2 linked regions of the Elephas maximus indicus genome follow. The protein of the gene in region 2 purifies or fractionates together with the protein of the main gene of each other region. This does not show direct contact. Links are inferred from orthologs where the notes say so. Each region holds a gene or a part of one and is shown on either strand. Other genes may lie near its edges.

What was found. Proteins that work in one complex are often made in the same cells at the same time.
Region 1: the proteins of PPP2R1A (region 2) and PPP2R3C purify together in Homo sapiens (co-immunoprecipitation; 3 studies listed by BioGRID and IntAct, with this or other methods). This does not show direct contact. The link is inferred for Elephas maximus indicus from reciprocal best matches to the Homo sapiens genes PPP2R1A and PPP2R3C.

Annotation. Positions count from the first base shown.
Region 1 is NC_064828.1:47,442,910-47,450,127, reverse strand, and holds the start of PPP2R3C (serine/threonine-protein phosphatase 2A regulatory subunit B'' subunit gamma), read left to right. Parts: upstream 1-4,193; 5' UTR 4,194-4,217; coding exon 4,218-4,275; intron 4,276-7,218. Other genes in the region: PRORP (mitochondrial ribonuclease P catalytic subunit), read right to left, coding at 196-243, 1,923-2,911. UniProt on the Homo sapiens protein: May regulate MCM3AP phosphorylation through phosphatase recruitment. May act as a negative regulator of ABCB1 expression and function through the dephosphorylation of ABCB1 by TFPI2/PPP2R3C complex.
Region 2 is NC_064829.1:94,755,201-94,763,027, forward strand, and holds the start of PPP2R1A (serine/threonine-protein phosphatase 2A 65 kDa regulatory subunit A alpha isoform), read right to left. Parts: upstream 3,018-7,827; 5' UTR 2,938-3,017; coding exon 2,860-2,937; intron 1-2,859. UniProt on the Homo sapiens protein: The PR65 subunit of protein phosphatase 2A serves as a scaffolding molecule to coordinate the assembly of the catalytic subunit and a variable regulatory B subunit.

The DNA of each region.
Region 1 (7,218 bases), on a different chromosome or scaffold from region 2:
GGAGTTGCAGGGTGGGTTTGAACCACCAACCTTTTGGTTAGCAGCCAAGCACTTAACTGCTATACTACCAGGGCTCCATCCTATCCCTAAAAAAAAGGTGTTCTTAATTTCTTTTCCTTTCTTTTAACCAATAGCAACAAAGCCTACTAACCCTGAATTAAACAAGTTAAAAGTAAACTAAAAATTGGCCTTTACCTTTTCTGGATTGTGGTGAATTGTCCTTTCCATTGTTCTCCAGGAACACTACAAAAGAGATTGTAAAAACCAAATCATCACAAGATTAAATTCCTACTGAATCAAAAGCTATTTAGTGTATTTAGAAACTCTGTAAGCAAGAGCTCTGAAAAGTTAAGATTTTCCTAAAATGGTTTAATTGAAAAGTGGTTGTTACACTGTGATGGGATTAAGGAACTGATGTACCCTACTCTGAATTTCCTCCTTCCCCTCAGATCCCCTCCTGCCACCCTACTCTCATCTTCTTTAACTCCAAATTTATCTCACTGGTGCTGTATAGAAAGCAGTTGACCTTAGTAGTGTAACCTCTAAACAAAACCCAACTCTAACCTTCTCCACAATGCCGCCAGAGATTTTTCTAGCCCAGAATAACTTCTCTCTTATGTTATTATCTTATACACCACGGTTATTTAACTGTCAGGTATTGTATTCCCAGTTAGGGTGTGGATGCCATCCTAAGAGATCTTCCATCATAAAGCATTCTCAGTTCTTAGCCTAACTGGAGGCATTAAAAAACTATTTATATATTTATTTGCTCAATCATCTTAACCTTTACTCTTTCTCCTTGCATATATTACCATCAAATCCTATTGGTTCCATTACCTCCCCAGTTACTTTATTTAGGACCTCATCATTTCTCGCCCAAGCCTACAATTGCTTCCAACAGATCTCCCCATTTCCAATCTTAATCCCTCCCCAGTCTACACTTCTCAATGCCTTGGCAGTTCCCTTTCTAATACCGCTTCAAAACCAGCACTCTTGACTCTCAGGCATTCAAAGATTTTCACAGTCTGACGACTCCTCCACTCGTATTCAAAATCTTTGTTAAATGACTGAATGATTACTTAGCCCAAAAGACAATTAAGTGTAATTTTCACTTCAACACTTTATAAATACGATTTGTAGTAGAAAAGTAAGAGAAAACCAGAGGGAAGGGATATATTTTTAGAAAAAGAATCTAAAGCAAATTAAAAAAAAACTAGTTTTTTTTTTTTAGTTTTTTTTTTAATTAGTGGTGGAAAAATAAAAGACTGGAGCAACAACAGGCATGTAGCCAATAACAAAAAATAAAAGCAATGGGAAAGTAAAGGAGATGGCCTTGGAGAGAAAGCAGCCAAATGATGGAAATAGCCAAAGGAACTAGAAGCATGAAGATCTCCCATTTTAATATCTGCATATCAGATTTGATCACGATCCCCCTGTCAGCTCTAATCACCTAAACTGATGAAGAGCAGAGACTAAACAGAATACATACCTGCACACCAGTCGCTAGGTTTCAGGGGAATTTCTGAAAATACTAATGTGAACCAGAAATAGCTCCAGCCAAATGCTATTACCTTTTCTTCCTATGAACTCTAGTCACAAGTACTGACCATTAAGCATCAACATCATACTAGGTGACTCAAAAAACGAATCATCCTTCTAAAAGGAAAAAATACATGAAAACTATAAATGCTCTAAAATTTCCCTTTTATGCGATGGGTGGAGACTAACACACATTATTTTCACTGCTACTTTTTAAAAAACTTTTTCAAAAAGTTTAAAATTTTTTCTTGAAACAAATCTTACTACGAGATGGACAATAAGTACACTCTGAATAACAACTGTTCTCAGCAATGACCAAAAAAAATGGGCTACTTTTATGTATAGGTATTAAAAGCACACATCTAAAAACAACTCACAATTACCTCTCAAACCATGCTTTTATACTATGTGCAAATGACTCCCCAGGATATAGCTGATTATTTCTCAGATACAAAAGAATGTCTAGTAGTTTGTTTGCATACTGATGGTCCTTTATATCTTTTCCAAAATCAAAGAAGGCTTCTAAAGTTTCCAACATAGGTATAAGATCATGACCTAGCAATTTCTGATACAGATTCCAAGCTGTGTTTACATCTTGATGAAGGAGGGCTCCCTGGATACAGTCATCATAGTTCCTTTTTGAAGGGATCATGACTTTTTCGAAGTCTTCTAACAGCAGCAAGGCCTCTCTCCATCTGTCTGTATGGATTAATCCCCGGATAAGAAGACTGTAACCCGCTGGTTCTAAAATTTTGTATCTGACTTTCATGATTTCATAGACGTCAATAATTTCTGATTTCTGCTTATGAAAGACACAGAGATATAAATACTTCACCAGTAAATCATAGCTTACAATACCATTGTTTTTTGCAGCTACCCACGCCAACAGAGATTTGGCCACATCTATAGAGCTACGAGAGTAAGTTATCTGTGAGCTGATCCAATTTTCGAAATTGCCCTTTCCTTTGAAATCTTCCTTAAGTTTATCCCACTCCTCTGAATTCAAAGGTCTTGTTGGGAGTTGAATAGTGTCCCTCAGAGGCGATGAGACAGGCTCTTTACTCTGAGGATTCATCTCTGCTCTCTTCCGAGCTGCTCCAGCTGCAAAAAGATGAGGAGAATCAGAAGAAACTTGCTTATTACTTCCCTCATCTCCTTTCCTGTGATATCTGGTCTTGGCTTTCAGGAGATTCAGTGCTTTGGTATTCTGTGGAGACGCTGTTTTAAGAGAAAACCACCTCTGTCGGTTCCAGATGCCATAGCTGTCCACGAGAAAGAGAGAGTGAGGAGAGTATCCTGGGACTAGCCCAAGGTACGGGTTATTCTTCCAAAGCTTAGAAAAGCTTCGAAACCCAGACAAACAGAAAGTCATTATGCAGGGAAATCAGCACCAGATAGCGAGAAAGATGTTCAAAAAGCCTCTACTTCTACAGCAAAATTAGGTGCTTGGGGGTGGAGCGGTAGGAAGAGGACGAACAACTTTTAAAAAGACTTCCAGTTTCTCCTTTAAAGATAAATCAGGGTTCTTCTTTTGGGAATAGATGATAGCAACGAAGACCGGTTAGCTATCTCCATTAAACAACGGTCAGGGGATATCCGACCTCGGTGGCAGGCCCCAGAACTAGGGGACACGGCAGAAAATCCTGCTCTCCGAACTAGGATCCTCCGGTGCTTGTTATATTCCCCACCGCGAACCTGAGGAAAAAGCACAAGGCGGGCTCATATCAGCTCACGTGGATCACGAATGTCCTCAAAAGGGGCAGGATCCCCTGACAGCCTTGCTGAAAAGGGGGCGCAAAGTCGAAAATCGCGACCAGGAGTTGCTAAACCCAGGCCCGCCAGCAACAAAGACAAACGCGAAAGTCAAAATATAGGGGGCCCTCACCACCGTTCCCCGGGCCGCAGCACGGGCCAGAAGGGGTGTGGACTGGGGTTAGCCGAGTCAACAGCTCAGGTAAGGAAGAGAGGTCCACGAACCGCCCGGCCTTGACTGCATACCGATGGAGCACAAACAAAATTCACTTCATTCAACAACTCACCACATCACTCACGTTGAAAGCAGCCGTAAATACGGCGGAAACTACCGCGTCCACAATGCACCGGGACAGTCCCGGCCCGCAGGGGCCTGAGCAAAGCGGGCGCGGGCGTTCCGCTAGGCCTAGACACGAGAAAAAGGGTGATTTCGAGGCTTTTAGCGGCAGAAGGCGCTGCTGGAAACGTGTATAAGATTCAGGGAACCTTTAGGGCCTCCAGATAACCGCAATGAACAAGGGAAACAAATTGTGAAGGAAAAAAGCCCTCCCCCTGAGCCGGAAACTCCAGTGGACTCCTGAGTCACGTGGCAGACACGCGTTAAAGAACCAAGACGAAAAAAAGCACGGCTTTCTTTATCCGGCCCCTTTAAAATCGAGATGGATGAGGTTGGGAAGACTCCTTAAGGAGAACCATTTTCCTTTTTAACTTCTGCTTTCCGACCGTAGCGTAATCGCCGTATTCTCCGCGACTACTACCGTAATCGTTTTTGTTTCTTTAACCCAGACTTCCGCCCATGTCCAAGATGGCCGGTTGAGCCGCTTTCCCAACCCTTTCGGTTACCGGGAGGCATCTGACGTCCGAGCTGGTCGGGGGTGGTGCAGTTAGTCAAAAGCAAATGCAGGAGCTGCAGCGCGGAGTTCGCCATGGACTGGAAAGAAGTTCTTCGCCGGCGGTTAGCGACACCTAACACCGGTCCACACAGTGAGTTTGGAAAGGGCCACCGGCTGGGATAACCCGGCCCAAACTTCGGGGGTCGGATGGGGAATAATGGGAAGGAGGAACCACTGGGAGCCTCACTCTTCCCTTCTGTAAAGCCGCCCCTGACAAAGGGGGCGGAGTGGATTGTGGTTTCGAATCCAGAGAGGTTTGGTCTGAACTTTCCATTGAGAGGATTGAGGTGAAGAAGAGTCATTCACTTCCATGGTCTTCACTTAGACTTGTGAGGAATAACTGAGAACCCCGGCTCCAACAACTCTCAGACCCTACCAGAACTTTAACCCATTGATCTTGCCGCCTTTTACTGTCACACTTCTTGTGCTTATTTCCCTGCCTACCTGTCTTTGATTTCAGAATCCAGTTTTCTTGTCCCTTTCCTTTTCTTCACACTCAACCTGTTAACCAATCTGGTTAAATCCGTCTTTCTTCTTATTTCCCTGCACCCAGGGAAGCTGAAAGTGACTGGAAAAAACAGAACCGTGATGAGTTCTCTCTTTTAATTCGTGCCCAGTAACCTAAACTAGGTCTTTTAGACACTTTTACCATGCTTTCCCTGGTGGCACAGTGGTTAAGCGTTTGGCTGCTAACCAAAAGGTTGGCAGTTCCAATCCACCAGCCGTTCCTTAGAAACTCCGAGGGCCAGTTCTCCTGTGTCCTGAAGGGCCACTATGAGTCGGAATCGACTGGATAGCAACCAGTTTGGGTTTTTTTGGTTTACCATGCTTTCTAGATGTTAACTCTCCTATACTCTAAGGTAATTCTTTTCACTCCTTCTCTCTCCTCATATCTCCAGTATGTCCTACCCACTCCCTGCTTGTGATGAACTTGTTTTTTACATCACTGAGAGAATAGAAACAAGCAGAGGAGAACCTCACCTGCTCCCATTTACCATTTCTGTCTGCCCCTACATAGATGCCCATACAGTCTTACTGTTAAAATGATGAACTAACTGTCCATGCTTCTATTTGAGACAGTCCTTCTCCTCTAGCATTAGAGCATTCCCTCCTATTCACTGAGTTCACTCCTGCATTGTCCTCTCTCATGCATCATCAGATTTCCCTTCTCTACTGGATCATTTCCATCATTACTGACAAACATGCTGTAATATTCCTGTATCTTAACAAAAATCATTTGGTCCCACATCCCCCTCTAGCTTCTGACATATTTCTCTGAACCCATTGTAGGAAAGCTTCTCAGAATAGTTGTCTATACTTGTACTTTTTCCACTTTCTCCTACTGTTCTCTTTTGAACTCAACTTTATTCTTTCACAGATATTTATTGTATGCCTGTTATATTTCAAATACTGTTCTAGCTGTGCAGTGAACAAAACAGACAAAAATCCCTGTCCTTATAGAACTTACACTTTAGTGTGGGGAGAGACAATAAAGAAAATAATTAGTAAATTATATACATTATACAAGGTCCTGTTTAAGGCTGTTTCCTTCATCAGCATTTTAGATCCCATCCTTTGTGCTAGATCCCATTCTTACCTACTCAAGAATGTACTCATGCAGTTGTCCTGTCTTCTGTATCATCAGTTTTTATTCTTCTACGGCTGGGTTGCTGGTCAGTGCATGGTTGTGTTCGTGCATGTGGATTCTGTCTGTAGCAACAAATTTGAATACGTTAAAAACTGTGACTAGGAGAATGATGGCTATATGTCTAAATACTACCCTTAAGCATTCAGAGTGGCTTAGGCTAATCCATTCCGTAAATCCATTTCAAAAAACATTTGTTTAGCACCTACTAAATACCTCCTAGTAGAAAACCTGATGGCATAGTGGTTAAGAGTTTGGCTGCTAACCAAAAGGTCAGCAGTTTGAATCTACCAGGCTGTCTTTGGAAACCGTATAGGGCAGCTCTACTTTGTCCTGTAGGGTCACTGAGTCAGAACCAGCTTGGCAACAGGTTCTTCTTTTTTTTTTTTTTAAGTACTTACTGGAGCCCTGGTGGTACAGTGGTTAAGAGCTCAGGCAGCTAACCAAAAGGTTGGCAGTTCAAATCCACCAACTACTCCTAGGACAACCTAAAGGGCAGTTCTACTCTGTCCTTTAGGGTTGCTATGAATCAGGATTGACTGAACAGCAATGACTTTTTTGGACCTCAGGTGGCACAGTGGTTAAGAGTTCAGCTGCTAACCAAAAGCTCAGCAGTTAGACTCTACCAGCCACTCCTTGGATATCCTGTGGGGCAGTTCTACCCTGTCCTATAGGGTTGCTATGAGTTGGAATCAACTTGACAGCAACAGGTTTGGTTTGGTTTAAGTACCTACTAGGAAACATGGGGAGCCCTGGTGGTGCAGTGGTTAAAGCTTGGCTGCTAACCCAAAGGTGGGCAGTTACAATCCACCAGCCGCTCCTTGGAAACCCTATTGGGTGGTTCTACTTTGTCCCATAGGGTCGCTATGAGTTGGAATCAACTCGACGGCAGGGGGTTTAGGAGCCCTGATAGTGCAGTAGTTACGCGCTTGGCTGCTAATGAAAGGTCAGCAGTTCGAACCCACCAGCCACACTACAGGAGAAAGATATGGCAGGATGCTTCCGTAAAGATTTACAGCCCTAGAAGTCTATGAGGCAGTTCTAGTCTGTCCTATAGGGTCACTATAAGTTGGAATCGACTCGATGCCAGTGGGTTTGGTTTGGTTTTTGGTAAATACCTACTAGGAACCCTGGTGGCACAGTGACTTGGCTCCTAACCAAAAGGTTGGCAGTTCAAACCTACCATCCACTCCACAGGAGAAAAGATGTGATGGTCTGCTTCTGCAAACATTACAGTGTTAGAAATTCTGTGGGCAGTTCTACTCTGTCCTGTAGTGCCACTAAGAGTTGAAGTTGACTCAATAGCAATGGGTTTGATTTTTTTTTTAAGTACCCAAAAGAAAGGGAAAATTATGATTTGATATGATATTAAACTTTAAGATTTCAGAA
Region 2 (7,827 bases):
AGTTTGAAACTGCCAGCTGCTCTGCGGGAGAAAAGATCTGGTCATCTGCTTCTATAAAGATTATAGCCTAGAAAACCCTATGGGGCAATTCTACTCTGTCACATAGGGTTGCCATGAGTCGAAATCAACTCAGTGGCACACACCGACAACCATCCACCCACTAAGTTAGGCCATTTGTTACAGCAGCAATAGAACTGGAATAAAGAAAAGAAACCTAAAAATACCAAGCTCCTTTGCGCCTCCAGGCTTTCCCAGAAGGCAGCCCCCCTCAACCTCAGTACTACAGACATTTTGGGCTGGACAGCTCTGTTGTGGAAGGCTATGCTGTGCATTGCAGGATGTTTAGCAGCATCTCTGATCTCTCCCACTAGGTGCTAGTAGGACTCCTCCAGTTGTGACAACCCAAAATGTTTCCAGGCATTGAAAAATGTCCCCTTAGGGGCAAAATCACCCTGGGTTGAGAACTATTGCCATTAAATGTCTTTTCTTGGAAGGCTCTTCACCTTCTCTTGAGCTTCACAGCCTCAGAGAGGCCTTCCTGCATCTCCTAAAATGGATCGCCCCCACCCCACTTTGTACGGATCCTGTCCTCTGCCCAGAGAGCCTCATGGCTCTTTACCTTGCCTCCATTGGGTCTTTGCTCTAATGTCTCCTCAGCAGGGCCACCTTAAGCACTCTTCTAAAAATCGCACCCCATCTCTCCTTATTTTTCTCCATGCTACTTATCCCCTTCTAACGTACTATACATTTTCCTTACTGTCTTGTTTATTGTCACTACATCTTAAGCTCTGAGAAGCTGGGAATTTTTGTGCCTTTTTCCCTGCTGTATCCCTGTGCCTAGAACAGTGCCCCGTAGAAGAGTAGAGGCCCAACAGATATTTACTAGTTCACTAACCCAACTTGTTTGTTTCCTTCCCACCACTTCTCACACGATGTTCACATGCTTCACACCTGTCTCCTGCATAGTAGCTGGTGCCACCTATATTCCCAGCACCACACTTGATACACGTTATTATTGTTGTTAGTTGCCTTGGAGTTGATTTCGACTCATGGTGACTCCACGTGTGTCAGAGTAGAACTGCTTTCAAGGCTGTGACTTTTCAGAAGCAGATTGCCAGGCCAGGTCAGGCCAGGCCTGTCTTCCAAAGCACCTGTGAGTGGGTTCATACTGTCCACCTTTTGGCTAGCAGTTGAGCGCTTTAACCATCTCCGCCACCCAGGTACTCCTATCCGATACATTAAAAAAAAAAACAAAAACCACTGCTGTGGAGTCAATTTTGACTCATAGCAACCCTGTAGGACAGAGTAGAACTGCCCCATAGGGTTTCCGAGGTTGTAATGTTTAAGGAAACAGACTGCAGTGTCTTTCTTCCGAGCCAGCACCAACCTTTCACCAACCTTTGGGTGAACAGGTGACCTGTTGCCGAGCGCTTTAACCACTGTGCCTGCCACCAAGGCTCCTTACCAGATACATGGCAAGTGTTTATCGAACAACTCAATTCATAGAACACCCCTACGAACTAGGTAATTATCCCCATTGGACAGAAGAGGAAACCAAGGCTTAGCGAGATTAACTAACTTGCTCCTGTCAGTTGGTAAGGGGGAGGAGCCAGGAATACAAGCAGAGCCTGTCTGACTCCAGAACAAGAGTCTGGAGCCTCGGAGCCTGAGCGCCGCTTTCCAAGTGGACCCCTTTCCCTCAATTTTACAAATGGGAAATTGAGGCCCAAAAGATGGGACATCTTCAATCACCACTTCCAATAATTACAGCTAACATTTATTGGGCCCTTACAATAGGCCAAGCTTTACTTGCATTATTAACTTGTTCAGTTCTCTCAACCACCCAAGGAGACCAGGACTATCATTAGGCCACGATTATGGCAAACAGAGGTTTAGAAGGGTGTGGTAATGTGCGAAGGTCACACAACTGGAGGGAAGTGGACATGGGAAGGGCACTCAGGTTACTAACCACGAAGCCGTGTTGTTAACTTGCATCAACTTTATTCTGACTCATGGCGACGCCATGTGCGCACAGTAGAACTGCTCCATAGGGTTTTCAAGGCTAAGACCTTTGGGAGGCGGATCGCCAGTCCTTTCTTCAGAGATGCCTTAACTCTTCTCAATTCCTCCCCAGACGGGCTCACGGCTCTGGGCCCCCCTATTCCCATACGCCTCGCTCATCACAAAAATATAGCACGTTTAGGAAACTGCGCATCCCCCATCCAATGGGAAAACTGGGGGGAGAAGAGAGCGGGTTTCTACAAAATTCGCTTCTAAAATTGGCTAGTTCACTCCTTAGAGGATTGTTTTTCCGTGCCCCTCCTCTTCGGGCGTCTACATCAACATTGGAAGGGGGAACGCAGGAATTGGGAAGAAAGCCTTCAGCCATCGGTACCATTTGGGTAGAGCTGATCCCCTAGCACTGCGGCCCAGATGCCCAAACCCAGGAAAGAGTAAACCTACCCGGGACCCAGCCAAACAGGAGGCCCCTCCCCCACGGAACTAGTCACGCGCCCAGCCCATCCCCAAGGGACCATTTGGGCCACAGCCAATCTCTCCCCCACCCAGGTGGCAGACCCCCCCTCCCCGCGTGGCCTTGGCCTCCCACCCCCGGAGCCGCCGCGCGCACTTGGCAGGCCTGGGACCCTTCGGCCCGCGCTCCCGCCCTCCGCTGTGTCGACACCCAATCCAGAACACTGTCTCATCGGGTTCAGGGAACCGGAGACATAAGAACTGGGCGCTGATTGGCCGGCGCCCCCTTCCGCCACTCCCAGCGAACACTGAGCCTTGTCCGCGAGGATCGCCCGCGCCCCTACGTCCCCCTTCCCGTCTTCCCCGAGTCCCCTGTAGCTTCGGGACCTGAACATCCTCGTTGCGGAGCTCGTCTATGAGCACCGCGATGGGGTACAGCGAGTCGTCGCCGTCGGCCGCCGCCATCTTCGCTCTGTCCCGTTCTTGTCAGACTGCGGCCAGCGCCGGGCTGAAACCGGGATGGGGAGGGGCGGGGCTGGGAGGAGGAGGAAAGACGGGCGTGGGGGCGCCCGAGCCACTTTACAGGGGCTGCCCTACGGTCATTGGCCGTGCTACGGCGGGCCAAGTCTGCGTCTCGTTGGTCCGGGCAAATAAAGTCCCGCCTACTGTCCATTTGCCATTGGTCGAATGGACGAGATTGGACTTGAAGAAGCCTTGGAGAGTGGGAAGGAAACGGAAGTATGCGGTATCCTAGCGACCAGGATTGTGCCCACCTACGTTGCCGCTAACAACGGCAGAGACGAACAGTTGATTCTAGCCAATGAGAGACGGGATTGGGAGGAGGCGAAGCCTGTCCTTCGGCGAGTCCGGGAGGAGGGTTCTGCGCGTGCGTCGCTAGGGATGAATTACGTCATGGGGTGACCCGGGTAGTCTGAGGGATTTGACTTGTGAGGCGGTGGCCAGGCTGGTTGGCGGCAGACTCTCTTGGACTTTTTTGCGGGAGAAGGAGGAGGGGAGAGAAAGGGTCCTTGATTTATGTCCGGGGAAACCGAAGGTCAGGGAAGGGTGGCGACCTGCCTTGCTCCCTGGATAAAACGCAAGCCTCGCGAGCTGGTATTTAAATTAAAAACTGTTGTGGTTTTGAATAGGTATTACTGTGCTTACGTTCCCCTCTCGTTTTTACCCTCCAGCAGTTCTGGAAAATTAGAGCCATCTATGCACATCTTGCACATCTTGGAGCTCTGGTAACACAGTGGTTAAGAGCTCAGGCTACTAAGCAAAAGGTTGGCAGTTCAAATCCACCTGTCGCTCCTTGGAAATCCTTTGGGGCAGTTCCACCCTGTCCTACAGAGTCACCATGAGTTGAAACTGACTAGATGGCAACGGGTTTGGTTTGGGTGCACATCTTGCTTTTCCATGCCAACAAGCCTTTGCTCGAGCTGTACTTTCTACTTGGAGTGCACTGTACATAAATGTCTTCTCTTTCCTTGGTGTCGCAAATGGTTTGTGCTCGATTACTAACCTAAAGGTTGGCACTTCAAATCCACCCAGTGGTGCCTTGGAAAAAAGTCCTGTCGATCTATTTCTGTAACGATTAAACAAACGAAAACCCATTGTGTTGCGTTGAGTTGATTCTGACTCATAGTGACCCTATAGTACAGAGTGGAGCTGCCTGATAGGGTTTCCAAGGCTCTCAGTCTTTAAAGAAGCAGATTGCCACATCTTTCTCCTGTGGAGCAGCTGGTGGGTTTGAACAGCCAAGCTTTCAGTTAACAGGCAGGCATTTAACCGCTGCGCCACCAGAGCTCCTTCTGTAAAGATTTACAAGAAAACCCTATGGAACACAGTTCTACTCTGTAACACAAGGGGTCACCAAGGGCCTTCCCTGCTTTCCCTGCCTTCAGGTTCAGTCCTCCGGCCCTCCAGAGCCAAAGAACATCCCTCTCTCAAAGTTCTCATCCCTAGAGCGAGCTGTGCCTTTGTATTGCAATCTGCCTCCTCCATAGAATGGGAGCAGGGTTTGGTCAGATTCGGATCTGTTCCCAACCTCTCTCTGAACAGCCCTGCACGTGAAATCCTGGGACCACCCTTACTGAGGGTCCTGCTGGAGGGGATAGGAAGGCCTGAAATGACCCTTCCCGCTTTATTACTCTCACTTGAAGGGCTGGGCTGAGCTAGGGCCCCTTGACAAGTATGAATATCCCAAGTATCTTTTCCAAACAGCCATGCCATGCCAGTCAGGAAACTAATCCTTGGGGAGGGGTACATATTTTAGCCCCTGCCCTTCATATACCCAGGCTTCCCCACTGAAGCCCATTGAAGCCATGGATCTTCTTACCTAAGGATGCCTGCCCTGATGTCAGACTGCTTGGGATCTTGGGCTGGGGTCCTTTTAACCTTTAGGTGCCTAGGAAAAACCTTCCTGTCCAGTCCATTCAGACTCATGGAAACCCCATATGTTACAAGTAGAACTGCTTCACGGGTTTTCAAGGCTGTAATTTTTACAGGAAGCAGATTTCCAGGCTTTCTTCTGCAGCATCACTGGGTAGGTTCAAACCTCCAACTTTTAGGTTAGTAGTTGAGCACAAACCCTTTGTGCCACACAGGGATTTTCAAAGGCCTATAACACTTTTTTTTCCCCCAGAGACAAAAAGAAGAAATTTTTGGTTCCAAAATGCCAAAACAAAGCCACAAACTTTAATAAGTATTTGAGAACTACCTATACAATTAAAATATCAATGCAATGATAATAATTGTAGTAAAATGAAGCCCTGGTGGCATAGTGGTTAAGGGCTAGGCTGGTAACCAAAAGGTTGGCAGTTCAAATCCACCAGCTGCTCCTTGGAAACCCTATGGGGTAGTTCTGCTCTGTCCTATAGGGTCAATATGAGTCAGAATCAACTCGACGGCAACAACAAAATGTACTCTATGAATTAATTCATTTAATGCTCAAAACAGATCTATGACATAAGGTGGTATCATTATCATCCAAATGAAAGGATGCTTGCAGCTGTTTCTTCTCATGACTTGTGCCACATCAGCAAATGAAGGTCCCAAAAGCTTGACTCCATTCACGTCATTAAGGTTGACTCTACTTTGAGGAGGCACCTCTTTCCCAGTCGTCTTTTGAGTGTCTTCCAACCTGAGGGGCTCATCTTCTGGCACCGTATCAGACAATGTTCCGCTGGTATTCACAAGGCTTTTTCTGGCTAATTTTTTCAAAAGCGGGCTGCCAGGTCCTTCTTCCTAGTCTGTCTTAATGTGAAAGCTCAGCTGAAACCTGTCTGCCATGGGCGATCCTGCTGGTATTTGAATACCAGTGGCACAGCTTCCAGCATTACAGCAGCACGCAAACCCCCACAGTAAGACAAAGTGACAGACCATCAGTTGCTCATATGCAAGTGCAAGTTGAAGCTGAAGAAAGCTAGAACAAGTTCACAAGAGCCAAAGTAAGACTTTGAGTATATCCCACCTGCATTTAGAGACCATCTCAAGAATAGATTTGATGCATTGAGTATAACAATGATTATAAGGATGGTGCAGGACCAGGCAGTATTTCATTCTGTGGTACACAGGGTCACTATGAGTTGGAACCAGCGCGACGGCACCTAACAACAACAACAACATTGAACTGTAATGACCGAAGACCGGACGAGTTGTGGAATGACATCAAGGAAATCATACATGAAGAAAGCAAGAAGTCATTTAAAAGACAAGAAAGTAAGAAAAGACCAAAATAGATGTCAGAAGAGACTTTGAAACTTGTACTTGAACATTGAGTAGCTAAAGCAAATGAAAGAAATGATAAGGTAAAAGAGCTGAACAGAAGTTTTCAAAGGGCGGCCCAAGAAGACAAAGTAAAGTATTATAATGACATGTTCAAAGACCTGAAGTTAGAACCAAAAGGTAAGAACACACCCAGCATTTCTCAAGCTGAGAGAACTGAAGAAAAAATTCAAGCCTCGAATTGCAATATTGAAGGATTCTACAGCGAAAATTTTAAACAGCCCAGGAAGCATCAAAAGAAGATGGAAAGAATACACAGAGTCACTGTACCAAAAAGAATTGGTCGACAGTCACACATTTCGGGAGGTAGCGTATGATCAAGAACCAATGGTACTGAAGGAAGAAGTCCAAGCTGCACTGAAGGCATTGGTGAAAAAAAGGCTCCAGGAATTGACAGAATACCAACTGAGATGTTTCACCAAATGGATGCAGCACTGAAAGTACTCACTCATCTATGCCAAGAAATTTGGAAGACAGCTACCTGGCCAATGATTGGAGGAGATTCATATTTATGCCTATTCCAAAGAAAGGTGATCCCACTGAATGTAGAAATTATCAAACCATATTCTTAATATCACACACAAGTAAAATTTTGCTAAAGATCATTCAAAAGCGGCTGCAGTAGTATATCAACAAGGAACCGCCAAAAATTCAAGCCTGATTCAGAAGAGGACCAGGGATATCATTGCTGATGTCAGATGGATCCTAGCTGAAAGCAGAGAATACAAGAAAGATGTTTTACCAGTGTTTTATTGACTATGCAAAGGCATCCCACTGTGTGGATCATAACAAATTATGGATAACACTGCGAAGAATGGGAATCCCAGAGTACTTAATTGTGCTCATGAGGAACCTGTACACAGATCAGGAAGCAGTTATTGGAACAGAACAAGGGAATACTGTGTGACTTAAGGAAAGGTGTGCATCAGGGTTGAATCCTTTCACCATATCTATTCAATCTGTGTGCTGAACAAATAATCTGGGAAGCTGGACTATATGAAGAAGAACGTGCCATCTGGATTAGAGGAAGACTCAAATTAACAACCTGCATTATGCAGATGACATGACCTTGCTTGCTGAAAGTGAAGAGGACTTGAAGCACTTACTGATGAAGATCAAAGACCACGGGCTTCAGTATGGATTACACCTCAGCGTAAAGAAAACAAAAATCCTCACAACTGGACCAATAAGCAACATCGTGGAAAGCAGAGAAAAAATTGAAGTTGTCAAGGATTTCATTTTATTTGGATCCCCAATCAACACCCATGGAAGCAGTAGTCAAGAAATCAAAAGACCTAGTGCATTGGGCTGCAAAAGACCTCTTTAAAGTGTTAAAAAGCAAAGATGTTACTTTAAGGACTAAGGTGCCCCTGAACCAAGCCATAGTGTTTTCAATCACCTCATATGCATCCAAAAGCTGGACAATGAATAAGGAAGACAAAAGAATTATTATGATGTTGGTGAAGAATATTGAATATACCATGGACTGCCAGAAGAACAAACAAATCTGTCTCAGAAGAAGTACAGCCAGAATGTTCCTTAGAAACAAGGATAATAGAGGGTTGGTGA